Linked DNA regions of Sus scrofa. The protein of the gene in region 1 purifies or fractionates together with the protein of each later gene. This does not show direct contact. Links are inferred from orthologs where the notes say so. Each region holds a gene or a part of one and is shown in the gene's direction. Other genes may lie near its edges.

The links. Proteins that work in one complex are often made in the same cells at the same time.
Region 2: the proteins of LIMK2 (region 1) and CDC37 purify together in Homo sapiens (affinity purification with mass spectrometry; 3 studies listed by BioGRID and IntAct, with this or other methods). This does not show direct contact. The link is inferred for Sus scrofa from reciprocal best matches to the Homo sapiens genes LIMK2 and CDC37.

Annotation. Positions count from the first base shown.
Region 1 is NC_010456.5:48,028,114-48,032,829, forward strand, and holds part of LIMK2 (LIM domain kinase 2), read left to right. Parts: intron 1-1,085; coding exon 1,086-1,217; intron 1,218-1,454; coding exon 1,455-1,511; intron 1,512-3,658; coding exon 3,659-3,724; exon of another isoform or gene 3,725-4,716. UniProt on the Homo sapiens protein: Serine/threonine-protein kinase that plays an essential role in the regulation of actin filament dynamics. Acts downstream of several Rho family GTPase signal transduction pathways.
Region 2 is NC_010444.4:69,209,473-69,214,986, reverse strand, and holds the start of CDC37 (hsp90 co-chaperone Cdc37), read left to right. Parts: upstream 1-2,077; 5' UTR 2,078-2,171; coding exon 2,172-2,273; intron 2,274-5,514. UniProt on the Homo sapiens protein: Co-chaperone that binds to numerous kinases and promotes their interaction with the Hsp90 complex, resulting in stabilization and promotion of their activity. Inhibits HSP90AA1 ATPase activity.

The DNA of each region.
Region 1 (4,716 bases):
GAGTTCCCATTGTGGCTCAGTGGGTTAAGAACCCGATTAGCATTCATGAGGATGTGGGTTCAATTCCTGGCCCTGCTCTGTGGGTTAAGGATCTGGCATTGCCAAAAGCTGCAGCATAGGACACAGATGTGACTCAGATCTGGTATTGCTGTGGTTGTGGTGTAGGCCAGCAGCTGCAGCCTTGATTCATCCCCTAGCCTGGGAACTTCCTTATGCCCCAGGTGCAGCCCTAAAAAGGTAAAAAAAAAAAAAAAGAAAAGAAAGAAAGAAAGAAAAAAACATGAAAACTTAGTTTGAAGTCACATTTTTAAGGCTGAGCAGAAAAGATCACTATAGGAACATGCCTGCCCCCGTAAATTACAGTGTAATTATTTGTGTAACAAATACTAAAAAAAAAAAAAAAAAAGGAGTTCCTGTCGTGGCGCAGTGGTTAACAAATCCAACTAGGAACCATGAGGTTGCGGGTTCGGTTCAGTCCCTGCCCTTGTTCAGTGGGTTAACGATCTGGCATTGCCGTGAGCTGTGGTGTAGGTTGCAGATGCGGCTCGGATCCCACGTTGCTGTGACTGTGGCGTAGGCTGGCAGCTACAGTGCTGATTGGACCCCTGCCTGGGAACCTCCATATGCCACGGGAGCGGCCCAAGAAATAGCAAAAAGACAAAAAGAAAAAGAAAAAAACAAATACTAAAGACAGCAGGAGCTGGGTACAGGAAGAAGTGGTTCAGAGGAGCTCAGGAGTGTGGGATGATAAATGTGAAAACACCCTTGTACCACAACTCAATGCTATGACTAACTGAGCTCCCTGCTGAGGGAGCCTGGTGCCCTTGAGGGTCCGTATGGTTTTCACTCCCTCTCTCAGTTGCTCCATTGGGTGCTGCCCCCAGGCGTGTTTCACTCATGGGTCCCCTACTTCACAGGATCCCAGATGTAGCTCCTAGAAAGGCAGGATCCCAAGGGTGAGGCCTGGGAGCCCACCCTAGCACATGATAGGAGGTGTGAGACATGGTGGCATATGTCCATCTGACCCCCTGGAGGGAAGAGGTGAGAAGTAAACCACCCACCCTCCTTGGCCTCCCCTCTCACAGGTGAAGGTGATGCGCAGCCTGGACCACCCCAACGTGCTCAAGTTCATCGGTGTGCTGTACAAGGACAAGAAGCTGAACCTGCTGACTGAGTACATCGAGGGGGGCACACTGAAGGACTTTCTGCGCAGCGTGGTGAGCGCTGCACCCCCAAAGTCCTGGACCCTGGGTTGGCTGTCAGTGGGACATCTGTGTCACCACTATCCTGGAGCCATGATGGCCAGGGGCCCACTGCTTTGCATACAAAGGGGCATGCTGGGCGGGGCTGGGCACCAGCAGTGAGGGTTTCCTGGCAGATCATGGTGACCACGGGGCCTGGACCACAAGTGCGATGGCCCAGCAGCCTCTTATGGGCATTCCCCCATCCTGCAGGACCCGTTCCCCTGGCAGCAGAAGGTCAGATTTGCCAAAGGCATCGCCTCTGGAATGGTGAGTCCTGCCAACAAGCCTGGGAGCAGAGCAGGGTATTGGGAGTCAGGGTCAGGAAAGGGGCAGGGATTGCAGGCAGGTACTCCGTCCTGGATAACTTGCATGTGCCAGGCCATTTAGCAGCTATTCACTGAGCTTCTCTCTTTGCCAGTGAAATTGTCCCCAGTTGGCTCTTCCCAGCTCACAACCCTACTCTCAAAGAATTCCATATCTTCTAGGGCACACAGAGGTAGGCAAGGCAAAGTAGAGAAGCAGACTAGCACAGGTGGCTGGGCCCTGCTGTCACAGGGGCATCCAGGGCTCTTGGAGCAAGCAGAGAACATCACCGCCTAGGAAATCAGAGAAGGGGAATTGTCTCCTAGTCAAACCCTGAAGGGATGGGTCAGAACCAGATAAAAGTTCCTCTTGGCAGAGAGGCCCCAAAGCTGGGGTGATGTCAGCAGCCAGGACCTGGGAGGAGAGAGGAGGAAATAGACTGTTTGACCTGGGAAAGCATGATGCCAGTCACAGCGATGGGAATGGTGACAGTTGCTGAGTGCCTTCTCAGGCCAGGCACCAAGCTGAGGGACTAGTACTCAAGATAGCCCTGGTTCCAGATGAGAAGCTGAGGCCAGACAGGGTGGAGCTAGGTGGGCTAGTCAGTCTGACCCCCAGGCCTGATATTTTAATCCCTGCTCATCATGTAGGGTCCATGAAGACTGGGTACATTAAGATCCTTGTGTTTTGGAGTTCCCATTGTAGCTCAGCAGGTTAAGAACCTGACTAGTATCCATGGGATGTAGGTTCAATCCCTGGCCTTGCTTAGTGCATTAAGGACCTGGTGCTGCTGTGAGCTGCAGCATAGGTCACAGATGCAGCTTGCATCCAGTGTTGCTGTGGCTGTGCTTGTGGTTGGCAGCTGCAGCTCCAATTCAACCCCTAACCTGAAAACTTTCATGTGCTGCAGGTGCACCCTAAAAAGCAAAAAAAAAAAAAAAAAAGATCCTTGTATTTTAGGCTAAGGAGTCTGCACTTTATTTAGGAACCCCAAAAGACAAATGTAAAAGATTTTTGAGCAAGAAAGTTGGTAGAGTTGAGAGAACTCAGGGCAGGGGGTCGATGAGGCATTTCAGGTTCCTAAATTACTGTACATCCATGGGGCCAGGAGACCAGGACGCAAGTTCAAGTCTGAATGGACACTGGTTGGCAGTGAGGGAACAGGGATATGGGGTTGGGGGAAACTGGGGAGTCTTGAAGTGCCTAGAAGAATGGTGGTGGCGTCTACCAGAAAGAGGGGGAGGTTGGCAGTGATGGTCCGGAAACAGGTTTGAGAAGAGCTGGGATAGGTGTCTGCCGAGGCTGCAATGGGGTGGTTAGTGGGGGTCAGCCGTGAAGAGAAGGTGGCTTTGAGAAGGGCTGACACTAGGGAGGCTGGAAGGAGAAGGAGGTCAGCCCAGGAGAGGTGTGGGCAGCCTCCGGGTAGGGAACGACATGCAGGCCCGGAAGAGCAACTCCAGGAGCCCAGGAGGTGGAAGCAGTGCTGCAGGGCTGGGGAGGGGCGGTGGCTGGGGAAGGAAAAGGGACAAAGTGGCTCCAGTGTGACAAGAGCCAGAAGTGGAGGCCTGGAGCTGGGGAACAGCAAATAAACACTTGGGTAAGAAGGGGAGAGGCTGAAGTGTCGACAGAGAGTGAGGAGGGTGCTGAGTTCCTGGGGAGAGGGCTGTCAGGAGCACAGAGCCTGCTGGTCCACGGGCAGGTCATTTCCTCTTCCACAGCAGAATCCAGGGCTGCTGAAGCCAAGACTGGGGTGAGGCTAAGGGGTGTGAAGGGGTCAGGAGCAGTGCACCCAGGTAGCCTGAGTCTAAGTGAAGTGGGTCGAGGGGATGAGGGCACACAAGGGCCAGGGCCCAATGGAGTTGGAGACTTCAGGACAGAGCAGCTACTGAGTTGGGACAGGAGATGGCAGTAGAGAGAGAGGAAGCCCAGGCAGCCTTTGGCTTTCTGTTGGCCCTAGGACACGGGCGTGACAGCGGGAGGACTCTGGAGTCCAAGTTAGGTTCTGAAGCTGGGTAGTGACAGCCTGGGAGGAGAGTGGGTTCTGTGGCCTGCAGAAGTCAGCATCTGATTGACTTACTGGCTGTTGACCTCAGCTTGTGCTTCTGTTTCAGGCCTATTTACATTCCATGTGCATCATCCACCGGGACCTGAACTCACACAACTGCCTCATCAAGCTGGTATGTCCCACCACTCTGGGCCACTTCCCTGTCACTAGGGAAGCTAACTGTCCCCTCCTGCCTTTTTTTTTTTTTTTTTTTCCCCGCACCCACAACATACGGGAGTTCCAGGCTAGGGGTCCAATCAGAGGTATAGTTGCTACAGCCATAGCAACACCAGATCTGAGCCACATCTTCAACCTACACTACAGCTCACAGCAACGCCAGATCCTTAACCCACTGAGCGAGGCCAGGATACCAGTTGGGTAGCGCATGGATACTAGTTGGGTTCGTTACCACTGAGCCACAATGGGAACTCCTCCTGTCCTGCTCTAGACCAGAAGTATGGCCAGGGCTCCTTCTTGCCCTTCTTGCTGCCTCCCATGCCCTCCTCTGTCTTCTGGGGGCCCCCCTGACACATACAGTAAAGTCTGCTTCCTCCCAAAGGCAGCCTTTGAAATCCTTCAGTCACAAGGGACTTCAGAAGTTCCTTAGCTGTATGTTGTCCCTTTTCCTGGTCTTCCCCTGCGGTAGTAAAAGCCACTGAGGACTCCGATTACAGCTGTGACACCTGAATCCTCAAGGCCACAGAGCTAATAAATTTCCAGTCACTTCCTCCTACTGGCCAGTCAGTCCTGGCTATTATAAGTTACTCCTCCTGTTGCCTTACAGTGCGGCTTCCTGGGTGTCCACTCACTGGCCCTGACTGTGCCCTCTGGACTCACACCAAACAATCTTAATCCCTTTTCCACATGACTGCCTTGTAGCTATTTGAAGAGCTTATCTCCCCCACATCCCCCCACTGAATGCCTCCACCTCATCTTTCCCTGTCTTATCCTGGTTCTAGCCATGGCCTTAAATCTTTCTGGGAACAAGGCAGGATGAGAAAAAATCAAAACAAAAGAAATCCTCTGTCCTGCCTCCAAGTTCCTCCTTCCAGGTCCCAGAGCCTTACCCGTCCCAGCTCCAGGGCCTCTGCTGTGCACCCCTGGGTCTGGGGATCTGCCATGTGG
Region 2 (5,514 bases), on another chromosome or scaffold:
TAACAGCAGACTCGCATGCGTGACCTCCCCAAATCCTAGGTGTGTCATCACCCAGATGAGGAAATCAAGGCTCAGGAAGGCAAAGCTGACTACCCAGTCCTACCACCACAGCTAAGCATTGTCTGGCTGTGGGATGCAGCAGAGAAAGCTTGGGTAGCTTAGAGGAGCATTCCCAGTCCCCCACCCCCATCACACAGGTGTAAGACATACAGCCAGGGAAGCACTGATGTGGGGAGGGCGGTTGGGAGACCCGGGGACGGTGCAAAGCAACTCGGGGATCTCTGTCTCAGTTCCCAGGACTAGAGATGCTGTGTTGGCAGGAGGTTAGGAAACGCTTGGCACTGTTGGGGGAGCTTCCGGCGCCCTGTCCCCAGTTCTGGGAGCTGAGTCTCCTGGGATCCTGTTTCGCTGGGGCCAGGAAGTTCCAGTATCCGCAGCCAGGTAGAGACCCCCGTGTATACCCGGAATCCCCGACATCCGGGGTTCTCCCCACACACCTTCAGCCCAGAAGCCGGCCTGAAGCCCTCAGAGGGCGTACAGGGGGGACTTTGATTTTAATGGGGGGTACCTGACTTTTCTGGGGGACAGGAAAACTCCCTCCGTCTTAGCCCCCTCCCTCTTGGGCGCCAGGTTCCCCTCCCCACCGCAGCTTTTAGCCCAAATCTTACCTTGCAGGGGGACTGGGGAGGGGATGCCCCGCCCTCTCCGGCCTGGGGGGCGGGAGGGGACAGGGGTGTCCAGACCCTTTGTTGTTTGCTGGTGTGTGTGTGTGTGTGTGTGTGTGTGTGTGTGTGCGCGCGCGCGCACGCGCGATTGTCAGACCTGAGGTGTGGGTCCGTGCGCGCGCGAGCCCAGGCCGTGACGGCTGCTGAGATGCTGGACTGCCGGGGCTGGAGAGGGAGGAGGAGGAGAGGGGGACTCCCCCGCCCCCGCCCGCCTCCTTGCCGGTTTGAATGAAGCGTGAGGGGGAGGGGAGGCAGCGGGCAGGAGCTTTGTCAGGACGTGTCCCCTCCCCTTCCCCCGACTGGGGAATCCCCTCCCATCCCCCCTGCGCCCCCATTTAGAGACCTTTACTCCTTTCTCTCCAGCCTTTTCCCTCCAAACGCCCACTCTGGGGGAGTCTGGAAGAGGCGCCCTTCACGCAAGTGGTTGAAGCTTCTCCCATCCCCCACGCCATCGGAGCATCCTTTAATCTGAGATAATCCCGGCCCTAGGCTGCAACGCGGCCTTTTATCCTGGTATCAAAGCGTGGGTAGGGATATATGAAAGTGTGTGGCTGGGGTCGCTCAAGCTCAATGTAAGAGTCCTTAGAGCCCAGGACCAGAAAAGGGGCCCCAGACGAAAGGGGAAGGCCTGCTAGCGGTCCTAGAGCACTACCACCGGGAAAGATTCCCCACTTGGTGTGAGGCCAGAAGCACTGGCCGCTAGTTAGACATTGGTGCCACCCAGCGGCCGCACGGGGAGACGCTGTGGATCGGCTCCCGAGACTAGTTAAATGAAGTCTGGGTGATTCCGAAGGGGGGCGCGCGAATCCCCGTTCAGGAGTGGCAGAAGCGAGGAGGAGGCTGTGGTTCGAGCCGGGGAAACACCAGGCCCCAAGGCAGAGCCACAGCACTCCCATCACCTCCAACCCCTCAAGGGCAGGGCCATATCCTTCCTTCACTTAGACCCTCCCAGGACAGGGTCCTGTACCCCTCGGACTGGGAAGGTCCTTCCATATCAGACAACCTCCCCAACACAGCTAAATCCCCCTTCACAAGGAACCCAGCAGTGGGCTAGGGCTGACGTCACTGCAGCGTGGCTAAGAGGACAATCCTCTCCCTCAGGCTCGCCAACTGCTCACTTACGGCCGCCGTAAAGGCCCACTATGCGGCGGCAGGAGATTAGCGGGGCTCGAGGTTGGAGAACCCACTCATATACCCCCCAGGAAGTGCCCGAAGCAGGATGGGATGAGGTTTGAGGGAGAATCCCAGGAGTTGGGACACGTGCGCAGGGCTCTTTAAGAACTCGGTCGCCAGGGCCGCTGCCAGGGTTACTAAGGATGTGACGTCACGTGCGGGCGGGGGCGTGCGCGCCCAGACGGAAGCGGAAGGGGCGGGGCTCGGCGGTCCGAGTCTCCGTGCTGCCGCTACCGCCGCCAGAGTCGGAGCTGGCTGGGCCGCCAAGGCAAGATGGTGGACTACAGCGTGTGGGATCACATCGAGGTGTCTGACGATGAAGACGAGACGCACCCCAATATCGACACTGCCAGCCTCTTCCGCTGGAGGCACCAGGTAGAGCGCGCGCGGCCAGCCCCTTCCCCCACTCCCGGGTCTCTGCTTCAGAGTTCTGACTTCAGATACTGCTAGGAACCCGGCCATGGACACCTGAGATTCCCACCCTACAGTCTGGACTTTCAGTAGCGCCCAGGGTTCTTCGATTCAACTCCGGGATCCCAGAACTTCCGGGACCCTTGAGTCCCTTGCCTGCTATCCGAGCCTCCCCCTGCCGATTTCTTCTTGGAACTCCCAGTTCACCCCTAGGGCACCTTCTTCAGAGTTTAACTACCAAGACAAGCTTTGGGCTTCCCCCCCAGTTCCGTTTGGGACCTTCCATTTACGCTCCGAATCTTACCTCAGAATCTTGACCCTGATCCTATTCAAGTACCCCCTTGTGATCTTGGACATCCCATGGGCCCCTCCCAATCCCTAGAGTTCCCAGTACTTTAAGTTGTAAGTCTGTTCTTCGATCGGCCTTTCTGGGTCCCAGTGGTGATTCCCGTTTAGATCCAGAAATCCTCTAAATACAACAAGGAATTCTGTCCTTCCTTGAGATTTCTGTTCCTGGCGTGGGACTCCAGCCCACACCCAGGACCCCTTTCCTGGAACTTAAACCAGTGCCCATCAGTATCCTTAGTCCCATCTAGGACTGGCATTTTGAAACCTAGTTCCCTTTCAGATTGAACCACCAGCTCTACCCTTGATGGAGCTTCCAATTCCGGCCACTCTCCTTCAGCCTCACATACTGTAGACCCAGTTTCCCATTATGTCAGGAAATCCTACCCACGTGGCTTCCCCCCAGCTAGAGCCCCTGCCCCTGCTTGGTACTGCAGACCCAGTCACCAAACTCTCCCCCCCACCCAAGACAGGCTTCCTGTAGGAGTCAGCTTTGGAAAGCCTCATTCAAATGCAAGTCCAGGACCCAAACCCACCCCTTCTTCCTTCTGACCCTAGCATGGACTGCTGATCTCAGACACCCAGAGTGACCCTGCTTTTACCAGAAACCCTCCCAGTCTGATTCCAGATTCATTGCCCTACTTTTACTTATTCCCCAAATCCAGACTCCAGGATCCCAAAGTCTGTTCTCTTGCCCTTCTCCCACCCAGCAGTGTTCACAGGCCAGCAAAATAGCCCTCCTAAGATGTAATGTTCTAGCCTCCTGCTCCCCAAAATCAGAGCTCCGGCACCCACATTCCTGTGCCTATGAGACTTTGAAACTCAGGGCATATACCTCTCAGAACCTTCCAGTTAGGAATTCCTCACCCCATTTTTCCGTGTATCAGCTCCCAGTCCTTTTTCTAGAAACTCCTAGAAGGGCTCTTCCCCTTCCTGCCAAGACACAGCATGAGTCCCTACATCTGCTACCCAGTGCTAGTTCCAACCCATTCCTTAAAGCAGCAGTCTCCTGGGTAGTGTCCCTGCTGGGCAAGCCGCTGGAGTGTAAGAAGAAAGTTCTAGCACTTCTCTCTTTCTTGCCATGTGTAACATTTTATCATGAAATATTTAAGATCTCTGCAAAGCTCTGAAGACTATCCTCAGGAACATGGATTACTGTCACATAGTCAATCTATGCCACTGTGTGGTGGATGTTCTGGTCCTGCTGGGCGGCAGGCTAGTGCCCCCTCTCCTACCTCGTCTTCCTCTCACCACGCCCTTCTCCCTCCTGGCCAAAACTCTTTCCTGGCCTGCTACTGAGAGTTCCTGGGCAGCGGTGGAGAGGGTCGGAGGTAGAGAGCCTGGTGTCTCCAGCAGCACCAAGTTCAGTGGCAGGCAAGCCTAGGTTCTTATCCCAGCCCTGCCACAGGACACTGGTGCTTTACTCTAGGGGGAGCAAGACCCCCACCTCCACGAGTCAATCATAGGAAGTGAGTAAGCATTCCAGAGGGAAAGAGGGGATTCTAGAACAAATAGCCTGGAGTGCTTCTGAGCGCAGGCCTGCCCACCTGGGTTCAGATCCTGGCTCCTTCAGAATCACAGACTTACTGCCTGGCAAGTTGTTTTTTCTTTTTCTTTTCTTTTTTTTTTTTCATTTTTGGCCACCCCATGGCATGTGACGTTCCCAGGCCAGAGATCAGATTTGAGTCGCAGTCGTGACCAAAGCTGCAGCTGTGGCACTGGCAGATCCTTGACCCACTGTGCCAGGTCGGGGATTGAACCAGAGTCACAGTGCTCCCAAGATGCCACCTGTCTCGTGCCACAGTGGGAGCCCTCCCAGTGAGTTTGGATTGCTCTGTGCCTTCATTTCCCCAGCAGGGAATCTTCACAGTATCTACCCCATAGGGTTGTTGTGAGGATCACCTTTTGTATTTAATGTGTGTTAACACTCTCAGGACAGCACACGGATGGAATAAGTTCTGTGGAGACTTTAGTTTTTGTCATCGTTTAGGTCATTCACACTCATGGTAAAAAAAAAAAGAACCTCAAGATTCCAGAGGGGACAGGTGAGTCCTCCCAGCTCCAGCTCCCTGCCTCCCTGGCTCCCTTGCCCAGAGACAAATAAGTACTGGTTTCTTGTGGCCCCTTCCAGTGAGCTTATGTGGCATCAAGGTTCTGGGAGCCTCGGTTCCCTTATGTATAAGGCAAGGTGTCAGTGACACCTGTGGCCCCTTCTCACTGCTGGGGCTTCTGCCCTGCCCAGCTGGGTACAGCCCCTCCTAGAGCTGTAAAGCCCATGCCAGGCAGGCTGCCACCCTCACCGCTCCAGGAGTCCTTTATTTAGCTTGGGCCTCCTGGCAGCTGCTCAGAGGATGCCGAGATTTCGATGGCTACCCAGCAGAAACCAGCAGCGTGGTACGTTCCTGCTGTCACCTGAGGCCAACCATAGAGAGCCCCTCATATTGTAGCGGGAAGGCTCCAGGGCGACGCAGGCCCATCATGGAGCAAGAGAGGTGACAGAAGATGCAAGGCATTCCCTGCAAAGCAAGGGCTTTCTCCCATCTTCATCCACATGGGAAAAGCGAGGCTTGTGATTGGCTGGGTTGTTCCTGTGGAGCAATAGAGAAGGGCTCAGGTCTCCCAACTCTCACCCAGCATGGGCCCGGCCCTGTGCTAGGACCTAGAGATCCAACCTCGAATAAAGTACAGAAGCAAGTTAGCAGACCATCCTTGTGGCCTTGGCCGTGACAATGGTGTTAACAGTGGGACGTGTATACTGAGTGCTGTGTTGCAAGTGGTTTCCTTGAAGTAACTCTTTTAGTCCTCGCAACAACTCTGTGAGGCCCCATTTTTTTGGAGGGGGGACACCAAGGCAGGGAGA